Linked DNA regions of Oryctolagus cuniculus. The protein of the gene in region 2 purifies or fractionates together with the protein of the main gene of each other region. This does not show direct contact. Links are inferred from orthologs where the notes say so. Each region holds a gene or a part of one and is shown on either strand. Other genes may lie near its edges. The genes, in order: NEK2 and CDC26.

Region 1 (10,569 bases), on a different chromosome or scaffold from region 2:
GCCGGGGCTTGAACCAGCCCTTCCAAGGGATGCCGGCATCGCAGGCAGCAGCTTAAGCCACTGCACCACAATGCCAGCCCCAATAAATACATCTTTTTTAAAAAATTAAAAAGCAAATCAAAGAGCAGGACATGTTTCACTTTCTCATTTGTGAGTGTGTGTGTTTTTTTCTTTCTCTTTGGAATTGTCAGGATACTTTTATTTGCTGTGTAACTGTAGGTAAATAAAACTAAATGTTTTAAATTATGAACACAATTTTGACCATCTGTCTTTATATTTTGCAGTGCCAGTTTTCAGTACAAATGTAAGAGCAGTGGACACCCGTGTGAGATTAACAAGACAACATTCTTGCTTGTAGCTCATACACACTTCTGTATTCCGTGGCTCACATGCGCACAAGAGTTCTGTGCCCCCAGAACAGTGAAAACACAGCACAAAACCGGGAGTGCGTGTTAAACGCACGGATGCAGACCCACAAACCTCCACCCGGACACCCCTGCCCTCCAGAAACACCCCACATAGAAGCCCTGACAGTGCTCTCTGCACAGAGGTCCCGAGAGCGGGCTCATGCCGACAGACAGTTCACTTTGGAAGTTTTACCCTGCCGATTTCCACACCTAGAATTTTTTACAACGATGTCTCCACCTTGAAATTTCAGGAAAGGACAGGGATTTTGAATGGCGTGAGCAGCAGCCTCTGCGCCCATTTCCTGCTGTTGCTCAGCACCCGGCTGCAGGGAGAGGGCCCGGAGCTGTCTCGGGGCCCCAGGGCAGGTGGCGTGGGGAGCCAGGATGCTCAGCCTTGGCCTGGGGAGGCCCGGGTGGTGGCTAAGGCTGTGGTGTCAGATGCGCAGGCCCCAAGCTTTCCTGGCCGCCCCTCGGTCGATGTTGAGTCCAGGGTTGAGTTAGGAGGCTCTGGGGCTCCCCGAGGTGAGGTTGGGGTGAGGCTGTGGAGGACGAGGTGGGGGAGGGGCACATCTGCGGCCATCTGCACAAGTCCCCCTGGGAGGGCTGACTTCATTCTCCTTGTGACACCCTACCTTCCCAGCCACCAAGGCTGACCCCTTCCTCACTGGTACAGCCTCGATTCTCTTTATTGTTTTTTGTTAATTTCAAGTTCATTTATTTTTATTTTATTCGGAAGGTAAAAAGAGAGACATCAGAGAGACAGAGAGAGAATCTTCCATCCACTGGCTCACTCCCCAAATGCCTGCAACAGCAGCGGCTGGGCCAGGCCAAAGCCGGGAACCAGGAACTCCACCCAGGTCTCCCAGGGGGGTGGCAGGAGCCCCAGAACTTGGGCCATCATCGGGGTTAGCGTCGGCAGGAAGCCGGATCGGAAGCGGAGTAGCAGGCTCTCCAGCGAGGCATGCGGGTGTCCCGAGAGGAGACTCAGTTGCTGCGCCACACACCTGGCCCCTGTCGTTCTTCATGGAACAGCTGCCCCATGTCACTGCTTCCATTCACCCAATTCTGTTCACCCATTCACCCATGCTCAGCGGGCAGCCCATGCGTGAGTCTTTGAGGGCACTCTCTCGCCTAAAGGGAGGCACCTGGTCTGGAGGGGAGGGTGCACCTGGGCAGCAGTGGGCTACCAACAACGCACGAGCTTTGGAGTCAAAAAGGTGGGTTCAGAACCCAGCGGTGGGCGGGCGTTTGGCCCAGTGGTTAAGACCCTGCTGGACCCACTCCAGAGTCCTGGATCCTGGATGGCTATCTCTGCTCCCGATCCCAGATTCTTACTGCCCTGCACCCTGGGGGGCAGCAGGTGATGCCTCATTCAGTTGGGACCCCTGCCACCCACGTGGAGGACCTAGATGGAGTTCCTGGCTCCCAATTTTAACCCAGGTGGTCCCAGCCATCATGGGTATTTGGGGAGTGAATCAGACAATGGAATCTCTCTCTCTCTGCCTCTGAAAAAAAAAAAAAAGTAAAGAAACTAGCTGTACCCTGTGTGAAACGTTGACACTAATGATATCTATCTCAAAGGGGTGCTTTGAGAACTGAACCAGATACCAGGCAGATGTAACCAGGGGTTGCGGTAAAACCCGTCACTGCCAAGCGCTGGGGCTGCTGGTCTCTCAGACCATAGCGCCACCTTGTGGTGTCTATCAGAACAGCTGCTGCCTGTTCTTTCGCAAATCCAGTGACTTTTTTTTTTTTTTTAACCAGGTGCACGCTGAGTTTGGCTGTAGTCATAGGGCAAACACATAAACTCTCTAAGTGTTAGGTGTTTCATTAGCATTTGGGAGAACACAAATGTTCATCCAAAAGCCCCCCCCCCCTTCTATCTACCATGGTTGCTCAAATACCTCGGGGGTTCTCGGCCCTAGCAGGGAAGCCAAGTTTTGCTGGCTGTAAGAGTGAGAAGAGAGGATGCATAACCGATCGTAAAAAGTCTCCGCTCGGTTGCCAAACTTCTGCCCAATCCCCCCACCCTGGTCCCTGCGGTCTTCCCTTCCCTCCATCCCTCCTCCACAGCTCCCCCACCCAACTCAACCCCTCCCCCCCCCCTTTCCTTTCCTGGTCCACCCCAGCCTCTCCTTAGCTTCTCCTCTTCCTGACATGCTGCTAATTCTAACACCGCGACACGCCCTCAGCCCCTGCGGTTCCTTCCTGCTTTATTCCCCTCCTTGTGCGACCCCTAGCCTGCCCCACGTGGGGCTGAGTGTCTAATGCCCTGGCCCACTGGGATGCATAACAGTAAGGGTGAGGACTCCAGTGTCTCTGTGGCTGATCTTCAGCACTTTCCTAGTGCCTGGCTCACAGCAGGTGCTCAGTAACTGTTGAGTGACTGCTGGAATGAATGAAATAAAGGTGGGATCTGGGCTGGGAAGGTGTCCAACCACCTCGCATGCTACAGGTTTCAAAATGAAAGGGAAAAACATTATGATAGGAGAGGAATTTTCCAAAGGCAGGTTTCACAGGTAACTGACCAGGCAGCAGGCCCAGCACTTGGTGTCTGGTTGTCTGTGGTTGCAGCCTTGAAATTCATAATAGTTGTATCTTTGAATTATCTTTTGTAGGAAAAATCTGACGGACGATGGAGCATGGGGTGGGGAGGAGGGGGAGATGGGTGGCAGTGGGGAATGGACTCAGTCTCAGCTGTCTCATGGTCCCATCTCCTGCCACCTCCCAGACTCTCCTGCCCCTGGCGCCCTGGGCCCCGCCCCCTCCCCTTTCTGCCATGCTTCCTGACCGCTCTCCCAGCAGGGCCCTGCACACCGGCAGGAGAAGGCTGACGGCCCCAAAGCATCTCAAGACAGGGCAGAGCACCAGCTGCCCCCATCCATCTCTCCTCCCCCCATGGCCAGTGGAGCCAGTGGAGCCCATGTCTTGACGAGGGCCATCCTGGCACGCTGATCCAGGTACAAAGAAGGTTCCCGTTTGGAGGCACCAAGGTCCTTGGGGTGGTCTCCCTGCCAGGGGTTGGGGCAGTGGCCTACGGAACAGGAAGAAGTCTGCCTCAGCTTCCAAAGAGCCGACGTTGCACAGGTCTGGTGACTGGAGTGGGGCTGGGAGGATGAAGCTAATGTCGGAACCATGGGTCTCTGATGCCTCTAAAGGTCCAGCTTCATAGGGCTCCCTCAGGGCCAGCGCCGCAAAATAGGAATGGGGTCGTTTCCGTGGTGCCACACGTGAGCTAAGTGCTCTGCTTTTTGCACTGGATGCTGGCTTTGTGCTAAATAAAGAGGACTAGTATTGGTGCTCATTAACAATGTCTTCTTTACTTAGAATAGCAAATAGTAAGGCAGCGCACATTGAGCAGAGACAGCTTAGAAGAAAGGGTCGAACTCTCTAAGGATTGGATGGGAGTCGGCTGCTGCTTTGTGACGGGTCACACGGTTTCCGTAGGCCTGCGCTTTGCAAGCTATAGAGCAGGCTGGAAGTCACACTCAACAGTCATGTCAAAATGGTCCCCTAGGCATACACCATAAAGGCACCGTCAGTTTCTGATGGTTTGGATAACGTCATCACTTGCCTTTGGTGGGATTACATTACCAATTGTGTAACACATAAAGGAGCTATTTCCTCTTCCTTCTTGAGCTTTCACAATTTGGTCTTATTGTACAAAAGGATTAACACTGCCCACAAAACACCACATGGAAAACGCGATGGACCACAAGGACTGCTAACGCACACTAAAAGGCAGACGTATTTTTAAAACACTCACCAACGTCCAAACTGAGTTTGCTCCCAGGGGGTGGGGGGGTGTGCCCCAGCAGGTTCCGGCTCAGGCTGGGTCCCTGCAGGGGCCGTTGTGGAAGCCGTCGTCGGGGCTGGCTGCCCTGTGCACTGCAGGGGCTGCGCGACACGCCCACTCTCTGCCCCCCGCACCAGCAGCAACGTCCCCAGTGATGACCATCAGCAGGGTCTCCAGGCCAAACACCCGCAGGAGCAAATCATGCGGTTCAGGACCCCTGGCCTCCGTGCCCCAGGGAGGCGGCTCGTGGGGAGCCACGCCCACGGAAGAGCAGAGTGGCCTCTTGACATCAGAGTCGCGTTCTCTTCCCTACTCTACAAGGCCCCTAAGTTACAAACACGCTTCCCTCTATCCTACTGAGATCACAGAATCCAGGAGACAGAAGCAAAACGGAAGGACTCTTTTATTTAGTGGCCAACGGTGGGGGTGAACAGCAGAGAACAAAAGGGACCAAAAGAGCAGTCATCCCAGCCACGAGCTCACAAAGGTAACGGCTCGCACTGCACTGGCACAGTCGGGAGCAGGATGCGCTGGTACAGTGACTGAATTACATTCAATTCAGCTCTCTAAGTTCAAGGACATCCAAAGTCTCACCCTTAAAACTACACACGGCAACTGTTCAGCGCAGCCCGCAGACATTCAAGATGCCCAGGACGTGCCACTCCTGCGTGCGTGTGTTTTCCCCTGAGATCTAGAACGCTACAGCTCACGCTCCTAAGCAGTAGTCACGGCACGCACAGGATTAGACGCCAGGTTTGGAAGGAAGGAAGACACAGCCCAGGCGCTCGTACAGCGGCTGCTGTAGAATAGCACGGCGACTCTGAAGCATCAGGCTCACGACACGCAAAGCCACGGCTCGTGGCCCAAGCACAGCAAGCGGCAGCAGCTGGATGTCCATGGTTAAGGGGCTGGCGCGCACGGCCTAGCGCATGCCCAGGATCTGTCTGCTCTTGAGCTGGTAGTTTTTCTCAATATCCGACAGGGCCTGAGCCCGCAGCTGGGCAGCGTGCAGCCTCCTCTTCAAGTCCTTGCACTTGGCTTTGGAGGTGAGATGGCTCTCGGGGTCCTCACTCCTCCCGATGTTCTCTTTGCTTTCCCCACTGAAATGAACCTTCTTCTTAATTACTGAGGATGGAAGATCGAGAAGCTCTTTAGAAAGAAAAGGAAAAAGAAAAGAAAAGGGTTGTGAGTTACTTGAATGGGAGCTCCACTCCTGCGTACTCACCACACTTAGCACAGGACGGCCACTCCCGGGGTGCAGCTGGAGGTCCGCGGTCTCTGGGCCGGCAGGAATCCACCGCACTGAAAACCAACCCTGGAGTGTGTCCACATCAAGGAACATGTGTCTACTCTCTCACCGGCAAGGCGGCAAGGCGCAGGGGCCATGGCCACAACATCAGACTTCTGGAAGCCAGTGTGATTTATTGCTATTCTTAAAAACAACGGCCATTCTATGCAAGACGTCACACTCAGAAAGGCATAGCCGCAGAAGCTCCTTTTTTACAGATTTAAGTGTTCAAGAACCCTCAGCTCAAAGCAGTTTAATCCACCAGAAACTTATTTCAAAAAGAGCCTAAGCCAATTCAGCGTGAGAAAGGAAAATCCAGGAGCAGAGCAGTGGAAAAGGAGGCCTGAGCTTTGTATGCGACCCAGACCAATCCCATGCATGCGGACTCGGGACACTGCTCCCAGAAGACGGACAGACCAGGTCGGGGGCTGGGGGCGTGCAGGTTCAGAATCCAGAACCTTGTTATTGCTCCTCTGTGTGCCCTTAGAGGAAATGTGTTCAGGTATTTACTGAACTCACAGCATGGGGCATTGGGAGCCAAACAAAGACCCAATCCTAGCGGGAGGAGGCCGCCCATAAACAAATGAACAAGTGCAGAGGGGGAGTGAGTGACAGCGTCACGTGCAGTGGGACAGACGAACTGGGCGGTGGCTGTGGTGACAGAAAAAGCCTCCTACTGAGACTTCTGGGGGAAGATCTGATCAAAGTGAGGCGGTCAGAGGCACGGGCCATCGGGCCATTGGGCTGAGGAGTGCTTCGGGCCGGTTGCACCCACTTCGGGTGCGGGAGTGCTCCAAGTGTTTAGAAAAAGAATTCCTGTTTCACAAGGGCTGTCGTGGTGTCGTTGTGGTGCGGTGGGTTAAGCTGCCACCTGCAGTCCGGCATCCCATATGGGCACCAGTTCAAGCCCCGGCTGCTCCACTTCCCACCCAGCCCCTTGCTAATGGCCTAGGAAAGCAGTATAAGACGGCCCAAGTGTTTGGGCCCCTGCATCCACGTGGGAGACAGGGAGGAAGCTCCTGGCTCCTGGTTGGCCCAGCCCTGGCCATTGCAGCCATTTGGGGAGTGAACCAGTGGATGGAAGGTATCTCTTTTCCTGTCTCTCTTCTCTCTCTGTAACTCAGCCTGTCAAACAAATAAATAAATCTTTTTTTAAAAAAAATAGAAGAATGGGTATTCCGCTAAATGGACAAAGAATGATTTTTAAGAAAAGCTGCCGAGGCTCATGGTGTTGAACTGGACAGACTCGTGATGTCTTCCGCTCGTCTGGATCCTGTAGGCCGAGGGTGGGGTGAGGGTGTTTCCTGCTGTCCTGAGGTCACAGGATCGCCCACTCCTCACGGCCCCGGTGTGCATCTCATGTTCTGAGCGGCTCAGCGCCTTCGGTGCCTCCCAGCCCAGCGGAGTCACAGCTCCCACAGCTCATTTTAAGTACTGGCCGTGATTCACACACAGTGGATCCCACACCTACCCCTGTGTCCTATAGGGTGAACCCCCATCCTTATCGAGCTATTTTCACCCTCTGGTCAACTCCTATGCGGGCAGGATGTAAGCAACCCCGGCTGAGGGCCTGCAGCCGCTCCCACGCGGAGGCTCCCGCAGGTGTGATTCCCTCTGTGTTTTACCCTCCTAACCACGAGTCAGTCTAGTCTGGCGTCAGAGGGCAGTGTGGAGTCCAGGAAAGCTGCAATAAATAGTATAAAAACACCCAACTGGCAGGGAACGTGCCTTTTAGGCCACCCTTTCTATAAAGCACGAGGTGTGCCAGTGTTAAAACGCCAGGATTTTCACTTGAAAATATAGAGAGACGTAGAGTTTTGAAAATACACCAGAGCAAAACTCTGAAATGCAGTTTTTAAACGTGCTCAAATTTTAAAAATAAATGTCAAACACTAACCACGGGGTCTGATCATGTGAATTCAACCTAAGAGGAAGTCCTACGATTCATTGCCTCAGGTCAATGAACCCAGTCAATAAATCATCACCATAATAGAATTTTATTTCCATGGATATGCATCAATTCAAGGAAATCCACCTTGAATGTACTTGGGACTCTGTACATTAGGAGGGTTAGCAAAGCCACCTCGGGTGCCACCGGCACACGTCTTCATTGGTAGCACCAGCTCCGGGTTAGGGAGTCGGTTCTCATACCTGGATTGCTCCCCAGAGACAGGAGCCTGCGGTCCTTCAGCCAGCTGTAGTTCTTCACCAGGCTTTCTGCTCGAGCCAGTTTGTCCTCTGCTAGCCTCTCACGGACACAGAGCTCACGTTCCTTCTCTATAAAAGGGGCATGGAAAAAAAAAAAAAACACGACAATTCACATTTGGTTGTTTTACTGCTCTTTCTAATCACTACCTCTAGGTGCCTGGGCCCTGAGTAGCAATGCTTTGAGAGCGATTTCTTAGCAGAGTCCCTGCTCAACCCGAGTATGCTAGAGCCTCTGTTCTGATTCGTTGTAGGTCAGCTTGGGTTTTCTTGCAAGGACTTGTTTAAGCCCAACGACGTTAGCTCCAACCCTGGGTCAGGCTGTGTGGGAGCTGACTGAGAGGGTAAACACAAAAACCATGTCTGCTTGTGACTGAAAACAAGCGACAGTTCCTGGCCGGGGCGGCGACAGGACGGTGGGGACAGTGGGGACGGACTCTCCCTCTGCTGGCTGGTGCACGGCACCGAGTGGAAGGGAAGGCAGCAGCAAGCAGCTCTAAACAGAAACGATGGCAACTCCACTCCCGGCCCAAAATTCAGTGTTCGCGCTTCAGCTGCCGCGGGAGGTTACCGGACACGGGGGCCAATTTTCAGATGATGCCTGTGTTTTTATTTTCATTTTTTGCAGAATTCTTTGGTTGGAGGAGTCAACAAAGTCTCTCGGTGAGCAAAGGTTGGATTTAGCCCAGCTCCCGTTCCTCGACGGCACTTTGCCGTTAGCGTCAGGGAGGAAAATGTTAACAAACGCACCGTGTGCGTTACGAGAGCATTTAAGCATTAAAGAGCTTAGAGCCTGCATGGTGCCTAAAGCTGCAGCGGCAGAGTCAGTGAGCCAGGGGGCAGCAGGAGGCGGCCACAGCCCCAGCCCTCGTCTCCTGTGTTCACGGGAAGACTTCCACTGCTGCCGCTGCCTCGCATGGCCCTAAAATCGCACTGGCAGCTCTGGGTGGCGCAGACAGACTTGCAGCATCACAGACTAACTGGCACCGTATCAGTCAGCACTCATGGAGCCAGCGCCAACACCCAGCAGGTATTATTTATTAACCTAGGCGATCTCACACCCATATGCCCAACTGCCTCAGGGTAGCTCACTCCTAGGCACTCCCAGGACTTCAGACCCGGAACTGTGTTGGCGTAGACCCTGCACAAGGTAGAAGTCATGGTTTTTATTATGGAAGGCAGCAACTTTGAAAACCTTTTTACTTATGATCTTTTATTGGAAATGCAGAGACAAGAGACAGAGTGCTCATTTGCTGGTTCACTCTCCCAGTGGCCACCAACAGCCAGGGCTGGGCCAGGCCAAAGCCAGGAGCCAGAAGCTCCATCTGGGTCTCTCACGTGGGTGGCTGGGATGCAACGTGAGCTCTTACCTGCTGCCTCCCAAAGTGTGCATTACTGGGAAGCTGGACTGCAGAGCGCAGCCGGGACTCGACCCAGACACTCGACACGGGAGGCGGGAGTCCCGAGAGGCAGTTTAACTGCTGTGTCAAAGGCTTGCCCCAAGGTCTTCTTTCACCATGGAAGAACTTCACAGGGACGGCGCTGTGGCACAGCAGGTTAAGCTGCTGCCTGCGACTACGGCACTCCGTACTGGAGCCCAGTTCAAGTCCTGGCTGCTCTGCTTCTGATCCAACTTCCTGCTAATGCACCCGAAAGGCAGCCCGTGATGGCCCAAGTACACGGGCCCCGGCCACCTAGGTGGGAGATCAGGATGGAGTTCCCGGCTCCTCACTTTGGCCTGGCCCAGTCCTAGCTGTTGCAGCCGTTTGGGCATGAGTTAACCAGCAAGTGCAAGATCCCTCTTTCCCTGTCACTCTGCCTTACAAATAGATTTTTAAAATCTTAAAAAACAAACAAACAAAAACAAAACAAAACAAAAAACTTTAGGGTATTTATCTTAAAGATAAGAAAAAAATCAACTCTACAGTAAAACAAAATGTGTCTGGCAGCCGATTTGAGAGAAAGCTATCTAAGGCGAAAGCGCCTGCGAGTCTGATGATCTAGTCTGGAACACACAGGAAGGTTCTAGAGAAGCCCCACGCATGTTCCGTTCACGGAAATATCCACGCATATCCAGCGTCCTCGTGCGGGCTCCCCGCCCCGGACCCCCGCCGCCTTCCCGACTTAGACTTACGCTCCAGTCGGTCCTCTCTGGCCTGGAGGGCCCGCTCTCGCTCCTGCAACTGTAGCTCTTTCAGCCTCAGCTCGCTGAGCCCGGGGCCGGCGCTGAGCCCCGGGCTGGACTCCTGCGACTTTTCCGGCTCTCCTGGTCGCCGCCCTCTTCTCTCAAGAGCTCGTCCTTGCTCTTCGGCAACCAAGTCCGCTATCAAAGCGTCCTGCAGGATCTCTTCCACAGAGGGCCGCTGGTAGTCCTGGGGGCACAGTACTGAGGCTGCAGTCAGAGGGCCCGGCGAGACAGCTACCCCAAGGGAGCCTGACACGACAAGGGCACGCGCCGCCGAAGCAGAAGAAAGCGCTCCTCTCTGGACAGCTCTTAGCTCAAAGACAAGCTCACTGCCGGTTTTCACCCATGAGCTTCCGGGTCCATGGGGTCACGCAGCTGCAACCCATCCCTTCCCCCTTCGAAGTACCACGGCACACCTCGTGCTGGTGCTTGGTAGCCCTGGGGCAAGCACTGTCCTGGCATCTCCGGGCGAAAGGGCACAGGACGCCCGTTCACCAGCCTCCTCCCCCCCCCACTCCGCCTGTGTCCTCTGCGACCCTGGGGCACTTTCCCTCCCCCTCACCTCAGCCTCCTTCCTCCATCCCACGTTCAAAGTTTCTCCACGAAATCCGCTTATCCCTGTGGCTTCCCCTCTTCTGCTGTCTCCTCCTGCCCTTCCTCTTCTGCGCTCTCCCCTCTCATCCCGAGC
Region 2 (11,668 bases):
CATTGGAGGGTGAACCAATGGCAAAGGAAGACCTTTCTCTGTCTCTCTCTCTCACTGTCCACTCTGCCTGTCAAAAAATAAATGAATAAATAAATAAATAAATGTCAGTGTGGTAGGGCTCAACAGTGTGAAAGGGCTGAAGAGAAGATGAGGAGTAAGGACCTAAGAGAATAAACATAAGCAACCTTTCGAAGGGAGGAGATGGGACAGTGGATGGAGGTCCTGTCCTTGCACACAACCAGCCCATCATCAAGAGACTGCAACCTTAAAATCGCAAGAGGAGCATCATCTCAGGGCAGTGCCCCTCTCAAGCATCCAAAGAACACTGATCATTATGTTTTGTCACCAACAGGAAATGCATTTGCTGTCTACATTTCAAAGCTCAAAACCAAATGTTTATCCAACTCAAAACTTCACACTGGGGAGTGGAGGGCAGTATGTTAGTACCCTCTTCAGTCTAAAAAGAAATATTAGTGGAGCAAAGATTGGCCCAAGATTTGGATTATGGGCTAAACTACACAAATGTCAAGTAGATACTGTTAACACTACTAAAGTTTCAGTTAAAAGATCAACTAATACTTGAAACAAGATCTTGTGATTAACAAAGAAATGAATAACTATTTAGAAAGGGCACCTTTCTCTTCTTTCAGCAGGGCCCTCTCCAAACAGCGTGATGGGCTCCCCCAGGGCTCGAAGGCAAGCCTTGACCTCCGAGTCATCTGTGGAAACGTTGATCTGCCGGGCCCGCTTCCTCCTCTCAAACTCGGCCAATACCTCTGCCTGCCGCTCACTGATGTGCTCTTCAATTTCAAATACTTCTCCTGTAAAGAGAACAGGCAGCACCAACATAACCACCAGATCTTGAAAGTCAGAGTTACACAGAGAGAGGAGAGGCAGAGAGAGAGAGAGAGAGAGAGAGGTCTTCCATCTGCTGGTTCACTCCCCAGATGGCCACAATGGCCAGAGCTGCGCCGATCCGAAGCCGGGAGCCAGGAGCTTCTTCCGGGTCTCCTACGCAGGTGCAGGGGCCCAAGGAATTGGGCCATCTTCTACTGCTTTCCCAGGCCACAGCAGAGAGCTGGATTGGAAGTGGAGCAGCCAGGACTAGAACCGCACCCATGCCGGCACTTCGGGTCAGGGCGTTAACGCGCTGCGCCACAGCGCTGGTCCCTTCTTCTTCTTCTTCTTTTTTAAAGACTGATTTATTTTGGGACCAGCACTGTGGCATAGTGGGTAAAGGTGCCATCTATAGGGCTGGCCTCCCATTTGGGTAGCTGGTTCAGTCCTGGTTGCTCCACTTCTGATCCAGTTCCCTGCTAACGTGCCTGGGAAAGCAGCAGAAGATGGCCCAAGCTCTTGGGGCCCTGCAACCATGTGGGAGACCCAGAAGCAGCTCCTGGTCCCTGCTTCAGATTGGTTCAGTTCTGGCCATTGCAGCCATTCAGGGAATGACCAAGCGGATAAAAGATCTGTCTCTTTTTCTCGCTCTCTGTACCTCTGCCTTTCAAATAAATAAATAAATCTTAAAAAAAAAATTACTTATTTGAAAGTCAGAGTTACAGAGAGAGGGGAGAGACAGAGACATATTTTCCATTCCGTGCTTCATTCCCCAAATGGCACACTGGCTTGGGCTGGGCCAGATGACGCCAGGAGCCAGAGCTTCAACTGGGTCTCCCACATGCATGCAGGGGCCAAAGGACTTGGGCCATCTTCCACTGCTTTCCAAGTGCACTAGCAGAGAGCTGCACTGGAAGTGTCCATATGAGATGCTGGTGCAACAGGGCAGTGTGTTAACCCATAGCACCATAGTGCAGGCCCCAAGAGTAGAGAACATTTTTAGCAAATGAATTAACCAAGCCTTCTATCAAAAAGATATGACAAAAATGTTATTTTAGGGGCTGGCCTTGTGGAGCAGTGGGTTAAGCTGCAGTTCTAGCATTGATATGAGTCCTGCTGCTCCACTTCCAATCCAGCTCCCTGCTAATGAGCCTGGGAAAGCAACAAAAGATGGCTCAAATACTTAGGACCATGCCACCTACATGGGAGACTTAAATGGAGTTCTGGGCTCCTGGCTTCAGCCTGGCCCAGCCTGGTCATTGTGACCATTTGGAAAATAAACCAGCGTATAGAAGATCCCTCTCTCTCCCTCTTTCTCTGTAACTGTCTTTCAAATAAAGAAATAAATCTTAAAACAAACAAAAAGAAATGTTATTTTAACAACTGCCAATGCTATTCTCTAAAACAGTCCCCGACTAGGGACACTTACCAACTCTGATCAGTTACCTGGAAATAACTGTCATGAAAATGAGATTTCTGTGACTATGAGTTTTTTTGTTTTATTTAGCAACTAGTGTAAAAACCTTACAAACAGAAGCATTTGGACGAAAACAGAGGTACGGTGGTGTTTCAGAACAGGTGTTAGAAACAGCATAAAGGTTTAGAGTCACAGATGTGCACGTATGAGGAAGAGCAGCCAAGTGGGAGGACCAACGAGAAACTCCACACAAGTGGTCTCAGGAAAGGCGTCTTCACTTCATGCCCTTTTTCAATTTCTTACTACAGATGGATATAATTTTATTTGAAAAACAGAGTGGCTATGGGGCTGGCGTGGTGGCCTAGCAGGTAAAGCCGCTGCCTGCAGTGCCGCCATCCCATATGGGCACTGGTTTGAGTCCCACCTGCTCCACTTCCGATCCACCTCTCTGCTATGGCCTGGGAAATCAGCGGTAGATGGCCCAAGTCCTTGGGCCCCTGCACCCGTGTGGGAGACCCGGAAGAAGATCCTGGCTCCTGGCTTCAGATTGGTACAGCTCTGGCTGTTGCTGCCAACTGGGGAGTGAACCAGCGGATGGAAGACCTCTCTTTCTCTCTCTGCCTCTCCTTCTCTCTCTGTGTAACTCTGACTTTCAAATAATTAAATAAATCTTTAATAAAAAAAAAAAAAAGAAAGAAAAACAAAACAGGCTTGGTGCTATGAAACCTTATTGAAAAAAAAAGTGGTCTGCTTGTTACTGACAGGAAAAGATATCCTTAACAATATGTAGGGTGAAAAATGTAGGTTACAAAATAATTTATGTATCACAATTTCACTTATGGAAAAAACTATGTATTTTTCTAACTGTATCAAAATTCTCAGAAAGGTGTATACAGAAAAGCATAAAGAGGAGCCGGTGCTGTGGCACAGTGAGCCTTGGCCTGCAGCGCCGGCATCCTATTATGGGCACTAATTCGAGTCTGCGTCACTCCACTTCTGATCCAGCTCCCTGCCAATGCACCTGGGAAAGCAGCAGAGGATGACCCAAGTCCGTGGGCCCCTGCACCCACGTGGGAGACCTGGAAGAAGCTCCTGGCTCCTGGCTTTGGATCAGCTCAACTCTAGCCATTGTGGCCATTTCGGGAGTGAACCAGCAGATGGAGAATCTCTCTCTCTAGCTTTTTCAAATAAATATAATAAACTTTTTTTTTAATTTTTAAAGATATTAAAGAATACAGGACTTCTTACTCTGCACATTTATACACTGTATGATCTTTTAATCAATTCATTTTAAAAATGTTTACTTACTTATTTTCCTTTTGATTGAGAGATAGAGAGAGATATTTCTTGGGCTGGTTCACTTCCCAAATGCCTGTAACATCCAGGGCTGGGCTAGGTCCAAGCCAGGACCCTGGAACTTAATCTGGATGTCTCCCATGGGCAGTAGGAGTCCAAGCACTTTAGCCTGGACCTATGGTGTGCATCAGCAGGACGCTGGAACCTGAAGCGGAGCTGGGAGCTGAACTGGAGCATGCAAATATCCCGAGTGGCATTTTAACCCCCAGGCCAAACACCTGCTCACATCATTTCATCTTTCAAAATAACAAACTGCTACTTTTATATTTAAATAATTTTGGGGGTAAAAAATAACTGGAGAACTAAAAACAGGAGAGCATTATAAACTATTCTAGTTTCAAACCAAAGCTGGAATGATGTTAGCTCTCCAAGAGACAAATGTAACCACTTAAATCCCAAATGTGCACTGAAAAAATTTCTGGTAAAAGAACTAATAATTCATGGGAAAAACAGTATATTAAAAGCTGTAGGGCCGGTGCCGCGGCTCACTAGGCTAATCCTCCGCCTTGCGGCACCGGCACACCGGCTTCTAGTCCTGGTTGGGGCGCCGGATTCTGTCCCGGTTGCCCCTCTTCCAGGCCAGCTCTCTGCTGTGGCCAGGGAGTGCAGTGGAGGATGGCCCAAGTGCTTGGGCCCTGCACCCCATGGGAGACCAGGAGAAGCACCTGGCTCCTGCCTTCAGATCAGCGTGGTGCGCTGGCCGCAGCGGCCATTGGAGGGTGAACCAACGGCAAAGGAAGACCTTTCTCTCTGTCTCTCTCTCTCACTGTCCACTCTGGCTGTCCAAAAAAAAAAAAAAAAAAAAATTCTGTAAAAAAAAAAAAAAGGCTCCTGGATGATGCTAGGTAGTGTAAGCAAAATATGAGTCTATAGATTCAAGTTTAAAAATTGAAAACTTGTAACATAAAACTACAGCTATCTAAGCTGAGGAAGGCACGCATTACAGAAAACTGGAGGTAAAGGTAAAGATGGACTGAAATCTGTCATCTTACCGGAGGTTATATTAATATTTCCTGCTTCAATTCCTGCTTTAAGTCCTTCTTTTCCCAAAATCCCAGATTCTCCTTTGGCCAGCCGCTCCCTTTCCTTCTCTTCCAGACTTCCATAATAAATGTGTGGCTTCTTCACCACCGGAGCCACCAGGTCATCAGGCGCTTTCGTTTTGGTGGCCTGCTAGACCGAAGGCTTCGATTAATTCAAGGCTCGATCTTAGCAATCCACGAGGCTTCCCTAAAGGGTGAAGTTCATCCTGACCTCCCCCAACAAAAGGCCAAACTGGGCGCCAGGGAAGATGCGCTTCACGGACCCGCGGGTGTGGGGATGGGGGCGGGAGGGCACGTCAGCCCTTCAATCACTTCCAGTTTGACAGCTTGAAGAGGTGGATTAAACCCGGTTCTCCGGGTGGTTCTGCCTCTGGAAGACGATCACTTCATTCTGTTGGAAGTGCAAGCTCTTTTTGGGTTTCGTGATACTTCCAGGGTTACCGTTTAACACGGGGGGAAACACCAAGGGTAAGGTAAAAGAACCGGCGTGGTGCCGAGGGAGGGGTAGCCAGTGACAACGCTCCTGCTCGGTCCATCTCAAGCGTTTTGAGACCTGTGGTAGCAGAGCAGGAGCCGGGAGGCCTCATCCCAATTCCGAGGTCTCCTATAGACAGCCACCGTGGCCAAGACACTCGCCCACTCCGGAGCCCTGGTTTGGACCAGTCGGAAGTGGTGTTTGCCGTTCGGGGCTGCGGTGGGACAGGTGCATACGAGTAACAGCACATACACTCGCTCAAGGGTCCGGGGAATGCTGCTCTGCTCTGGAGGGCAGGACCGAGTCCGGCAGCCCTCCACCCTGTCAGCCCGCTCCCTAACGGACCCTTCCCCGAGGGACCCCCACCCTCTCGGCGCTCCCTGCCGCAGTGAACTGAGATCCCGAGCTCCGTACCGTGGAGGACGCTCGTGACGAAGCCATGCTGGGCTCCGCAGCAGCCAAGCCCCAGAAAAAGCCAAGCTCTCCGTTTCAGACCATCCACCGCGCGCCCAGCAAAGCGGAACTACGTCACGGACCGGAAGTGAAGTCGGGCGCCGACGCAGCGCCCTGAGCGGCGCGGAGCATCATGGGAGTCGTAGTAGTTACTATTCTGGTCGCGTGGAGGGGCATGACCCTTAGAACCTCCGAGAAAAGCTCGCGGGAGACGAGGTTCTGGAGGGGAGAGGGGCGCGAAGCACTCTGGGAAGTGTAGTCCAGTTGGGCTCGCAGTAGATTCGTGGTGGGAGCTGAGGTTCCTTCCGGGAAGGGGCTGAGCGGGCTTGGAGAGAGAGGAAGGTGAGTCAAGTCGCGCGGCCGGGCGCTGAACTCTGGAGCTTACCGAGGGCTCCTAGAGACTTTACGTCGTCCCGGGGCGGAGGCCCATGTTGCCATGGAAACCATCGCCCGGACCGCTGAGTGTGGTCCTGGGGCTGGGCGAGGAGGGTTGTCGGGGTGGGGGTGGGGAGGAAAGTCCTCCCGGGGCCGGGGGCTCCGGCCGAGCTGGCTCAGTTTGCGGTGGATTTGGGCAGCGGTGAGAGATGAAGCTCAAAGAGCCCTCTAGCGTCTAAGTGAAGTAAAGAGCGGGCGAAGCTTCGGCCCGGTTTTGCTGTTGCTTTTGTTTCGTCTTCAGCCGGGTCTTTGTGTCAGACTGAGTGAGATGATGGCTAGGAAGGCGTCGGGTAGACCGCAGCCGACTCTCCTGCATAGCCCTGTGCTCCTCTGGGTGCGGGGGCATCAGCGATGAACAAGGCATGTAGTGGGTGGGAGACTCAAAATGTTCGTGTTTGCAGAGCTGGAACACCCCCCTCCCCCATCGTTATCTCTTCCGCCCCCCGCCCCCAACAACTGCAGTCATAAGTGCCTGTTATTTATTGAGCGTTTACTGAATACCACAGTTGTGTAGCCAGGAGCTTAATCGGCATTACGCCATTCAATTCAGACAGCAACAGAGTATAGAGGCAAGGAAGGTCTGGTGCGAGACAAAGATCGGAAACTTAAAGGGATCGGAGCCAGCACTTCAGCCGGGTCTCTACCCTGCTTCCTAGTGGTGGTGGTGGGCTTTTCGTTTTCGCAGAAAAGTTAAAATGCATAGCGATCTTCTCAGTATCCCTTCCTCACCCCATTTGGAACTTCGTTTTCCTCTGCTGCTTGTCGGCATTGGAATCTGGTGGACAGTATCAGATTTAAGTCAAAGCAAATTGAAATGTAATGTTTTGTCCTGGAAGAGGGGCAACCGGGACAGAATCCGGCGCCCCGACCGGGACTAGAACCCGGTGTGCCGGTGCCGCAAGGTGGAGGATTAGCCTAGTGAGCCGCAAAAAAAAAAAAAAAAAAAAAAAAAAGTAATGTTTTGTGTTACCACTGCGTGTCTGTCTCAGGCTTCATGGGAGGAGGAGGAAATGTTTCTTCTTTTATGCACTTCTCAGTCCCCGGTTTCATCCTGGGTACAGCCAGTGGCGTTCATTTACATCAGTCTCATTTAATCCTCACCCCACGGTCCTATGTGTGACTCCTACAGGAGGCCAGACTGGACAGCTTGCTTTGACTTCTTTCTCTGTAAAATAGGACGATCTTGCCAGCCTCACAGGGTTTTCGTATTAAAATAAGCAAGTGAAGAATGGTGATGGAAAAATTAGCCCAGTGCTCACTCAAGTTCATTTTACTTTAGTTGTTTCCTATATTCAGGGAACGTTTACTGACTGCCTAATGTACATACACAGACTCTGTTGGGTGCCATGAAGGTGCCCCTCAACAGATACTAAACGTGATGGGGAGTTCTGTTTGCTCAAAGAAAGGGTTTTTGTTAAAAGTATTGTCTTGACTCAGACTGTTCTCTTGAGCTTCTTTGTGCACTTGTTCTCTCTGCCTGCTCTTTAGATGTCGACTAAGACTCCATTTAGACATCATTTCCTGCCATAGGCCGTGTTTAACATCCCTGGCCACCACCCCACACCTAGTCCAGCTTTCGGGCCAGCATGGCTGCCATTGTATTCTCATCAGTGTTCTTGCTCCCCTCGCTGTTAATTTTCCCCTCACGTGTCTGTTTCTCCCACAGGTTGTGTCTGTACCTTTTAATTTTGTAGCCGGAGCACAAGAAGTCTTTGCTAATGAATGATCTGTCTGGTTGATTGAGACACTGAAGAGAATCTTGTGAATTGGTGAGTTCAGTTTTGCCTAGAATTTTCTTATAGGCAGCTTGCTGGTGTTCAGTTTTTTCAGAAAGAGGTTTTTGAATCACCGCGTTGTGGATCTCCATCATGAAATACAAATGTAAGAAGCATACACCTAAAGCCTTAAGAAATCTATGTGTGGGGCTGGCATTGTGGCACGGAAGGTAAACCACATCTTGCAATATGGCATCCCATATCAGAGTCTTGGCTGCTCTGCTTCCAGTCCAGCTCCCTTCTAATGTGCCTGGGAAAGCACCAGATAATGGCCGGTGTGTGTGAACCCCTGCCACCCACTTGGGAAACAACAATGGAACTCCTGACTCCTGGCTTTGGCCCGGCTCATCCAGAGACACTGTGGCCATGGGAGTAGTGAACTATGGTGGATGAGAGATCTCTGTCTCTCTGTGCCTCTCCATCTCTTTGTCACTCTGCCTTTCAAAAAAAGAAAGAGATCTATGTGTGAATCCAAGTTTGATTTTGCTATTGCCTTCACTTTAGTGTACATGTGTAGAAATTGGCCTTATGTATGTAACTGCAACGTATCACCTCCAGTTTTTCTCTGTGTCATTTTTAATAGCTCATAGTTGATTGGATCTGCTCTCAGTGTAGATTTCAGTATGCTGCGACGGAAACCCACGCGCTTGGAGCTCAAGCTTGATGACATTGAAGAGTTTGAGAGCATTCGAAAGGACCTAGAGGTAAGAGTGCAACTTTCAAACCCTTAGGAATAGCTAAAACAATAACTTGTGAACTCCAGACTCTTACACCAATAGCTCTATTTGTCTCCTTTGCAGGCATCTCAGACTTTTACTGTTAGATCCTGTGGCTGCTCTAACAAAGTACCACAAACTCAGTGACTCAAGACAACAGAAATTTATTCTTACATGACTCCTTAGGCCAGAAATGGGAAATCTGTTCAGCTGGGCAGAAATCAGGGTGTCAGCAGGGCCACATTCTTCCAGAGGCACTTGTGAGAATCCCTTCCTTGGCCCTGCTGGCTTCCGGGCGGCCACCGTCCTCACTCCAGTTGTGTCTCCATGGCCACGTTGTCTCCCCTGTCCTGTCTGCGATACCTCCCTCGGCCTCCCTCTTACAAGGATATGTGTGATTACATTCAGGGCCCACTTGGCTCATCCAGGATAATGTACCCATCTGAAGATCTTTAATTTATCACCACTGCAAAGGCCTTTTTCCTATATAAGGTGACATTTACAGGTTCCAGGAATTAGGACCTGATAGCTTTGGAGGCTGTATTTAGCCTATAAGCCATACATATTGGAAAAGAAAAAGAACTTGATTTTCCCTCTCAAACCTGGTGTACCCCCTTGACCCTCCCAGTGCTCCCCATTTCAGTAGCGATTCCATTGCTCAGGCCAGAAACCTGGCAGCGATTCTGCAGTCTGTTCCCCTCATACTTTATATATATATATATATATATATATATGCACATACATACACACATATATATATATATAAAATTTTATTTATTTATTTGAGAGGTAGAGTTACAGACAGTGAGAGGAGAGATGGAGTGAGGTCTTCCTTCCATTGGTTCACTCCCCAGATGGCTGCAACGGCCAGAGCTGTGCCAATCCGAAGGAGCCAGGTGCTTCTTCTAGGTCTCCCATGTGGGTGCAGGGGCCCAAGCACCTGGGCCATCCTCCACTCCTTTCCCAGGCCACAGCAGAGAGCTGGATAGGAAGAGAGGCAGCTGGAACTTGAACCGGCACCCATATGGGATGCCGGCGCCGCAGGTGGAGGATTAACCTACTGGCCATGGCGCTGGTCCCACACTTTATATTTAATCTACCCATAAATCTTTAATTCTACCTCCAGAATATATCTAGATTTATGCATTCCTTTTCATATGCAGTGTTAACAGTACTACTCCAAGCAACTATCTCTCTATATACAATTATGTACACACACACATAGGTATTTATTTGAGAGCCAGACACACACACACACACACACACACACAGGGCAAGTGCACTCCCATCTACTGGGTCATTACCCAGATGTCTGCAACAGCTGGGACTGGGCTGGGGCCGAAGCGGGGAGGGGACCTGGGAACATAATCCAGGTCTCCCATGCGGATGGCAGGAACTCCAGTTAGTCAGGCCATCACTGCTGCTTCCCAGGTCTCCGTCCTCAGGAAGTTGGGAGTGAGGAGTTGGAGTCAGGAATGGAACCCAGGTCTGGTACGTGGGTTGCATTCCCAGCTCTTTCCATGTGAAACATGGGTGTCTTTTTAATTTTTTTAAGATTTACATATTTATTTATTTGAGGGAGAGAGAGTTACAGAGAGGGAGAAACAGAGAGAAAGGTCGTCCATCCACTGGTTCACTCCCCAAATGGCCGCAATGGCCAGAGCTGACCCGATCAGGAGCCAGGAGCTTCTTCCAGGTCTCCCATGTGGGTGCAGGGGCCCAAGTGCTTGGGCCATCTGCTGGTCCCCAGGCCATAGCAGAGAGCTAGACCAGAAGAGCAGCAGGTGGGACTTGAACCGGCTTCCATATGGGATACCGGCGCTGCAGGCAGTGGCTATACCCTCTATGCCACAGCGCCAGCCCCTAAACATGGTGTCTTAACTTAGTCCAACTGCTTGCTTCTCTGTGTAATTGCGGCAGCATCATAAATGGTCTTTCTGCTTCCATTTTTGTCTCTTCAACCCATTTTCCTTCAAGTACGTAGAATGAGCTTTTTAAAATTTATTTATTTATTTATTTTTGACAGGCAGAGTGGACAGTAAGAGAGAGAGACAGAGAGAAAGGTCTTCCTTTTCCGTTGGTTCACCCCCCAATGGCTGCTGCGGCTGGCATACCACGCCGACCGAAGCCAGGAGCCAGGTGCTTCCTCCCGGTCTCCCATGCGGGTGCAGGGCCCAAGCACTTGGGCCATCCTCCACTGCACTCCCTGGCCACAGCAGAGCGCTGGACTGGAAGAGGAGCAACCGGGACAGAATCCGGCGCCCCGACCGGGAATAGAACCCAGTGTGCCGGCGCCGCAGGTGGAGGACCAGCCCAGTGAGCTGCGGCACCGGCTGTAGAATGAGCTTTAAAAAATTTCAGGACATGTCATGCCACTGTTTAAAACTTCTTAGGGATGGCCGGCGCCGCGGCTCACTAGGCTAATCCTCCACCTAGCGGCGCCGGCACACCGGGTTCTAGTCCCGGTCGGGGCGCCGGATTCTGTCCCGGTTGCTCCTCTTCCAGGCCAGCTCTCTGCTGTGGCCAGGGAGTGCAGTGGAGAATGGCCCAAGTGCTTGGGCCCTGCACCCCATGGGGGACCAGGAGAAGCACCTGGCTCTTGCCTTCGGATCAGCGCGGTGCGCCAGCCGCAGCAGCCACTGGGGGGTGAACCAACAGCAAAGGAAGACCTTTCTCTCTGTCTCTCTCTCTCCCTGTCTGCTCTGCCTGTCAAAAAACAAAACAAAACAAAACAAAACAAAAAACTTCTCAGGGGGTGGGGGGCAGGCGCTGTGGCGTAGTAGGTTAAGCATCTATCTGTAGCGCCGGCATCCCATATGGGCTGAGGTTTGAGTCTCGGCTGCTCCACTTCCAGTCCAGACCTGGGAAAGCAGCAGAGGATGACCCAAGTCCTTGGGCCTCTGTACCCACGTGGGCGACCCAGAAGAAGCTCCTGGCTCTTGGCTTCAGATCAACGCAGCTCTGGCCATTTGGGGAGTGAACCGGCAGATGAAAGATCTCTCTCTCCCTCTCTCCGTCTGTAACTATGCCTCTCCAGCACATAAATAAATCTTTGTAAAACAGACGAACAAACACACAAACTTCTCAGTGGTTCCCTGTACTTAGAATAAAAGAGGATTCTTCACCAGGGCCTGTAAGGTTTCCTCTGTTCTAGTCCCTCT

The links.
Region 1: the proteins of CDC26 (region 2) and NEK2 purify together in Homo sapiens (affinity purification with mass spectrometry; 3 studies listed by BioGRID and IntAct, with this or other methods). This does not show direct contact. The link is inferred for Oryctolagus cuniculus from reciprocal best matches to the Homo sapiens genes CDC26 and NEK2.

Annotation. Positions count from the first base shown.
Region 1 is NC_091444.1:26,237,724-26,248,292, forward strand, and holds the end of NEK2 (serine/threonine-protein kinase Nek2), read right to left. Parts: intron 10,069-10,569; coding exon 9,831-10,068; intron 7,769-9,830; coding exon 7,643-7,768; intron 5,353-7,642; coding exon 5,126-5,352; 3' UTR 4,589-5,125; downstream 1-4,588. UniProt on the Homo sapiens protein: Protein kinase which is involved in the control of centrosome separation and bipolar spindle formation in mitotic cells and chromatin condensation in meiotic cells.
Region 2 is NC_091432.1:216,874,948-216,886,615, reverse strand, and holds the start of CDC26 (anaphase-promoting complex subunit CDC26), read left to right. Parts: upstream 1-5,689; 5' UTR 5,690-5,923; exon of another isoform or gene 5,924-6,376; intron 6,377-7,682; 5' UTR 7,683-7,785; intron 7,786-8,374; 5' UTR 8,375-8,414; coding exon 8,415-8,495; intron 8,496-11,668. UniProt on the Homo sapiens protein: Component of the anaphase promoting complex/cyclosome (APC/C), a cell cycle-regulated E3 ubiquitin ligase that controls progression through mitosis and the G1 phase of the cell cycle.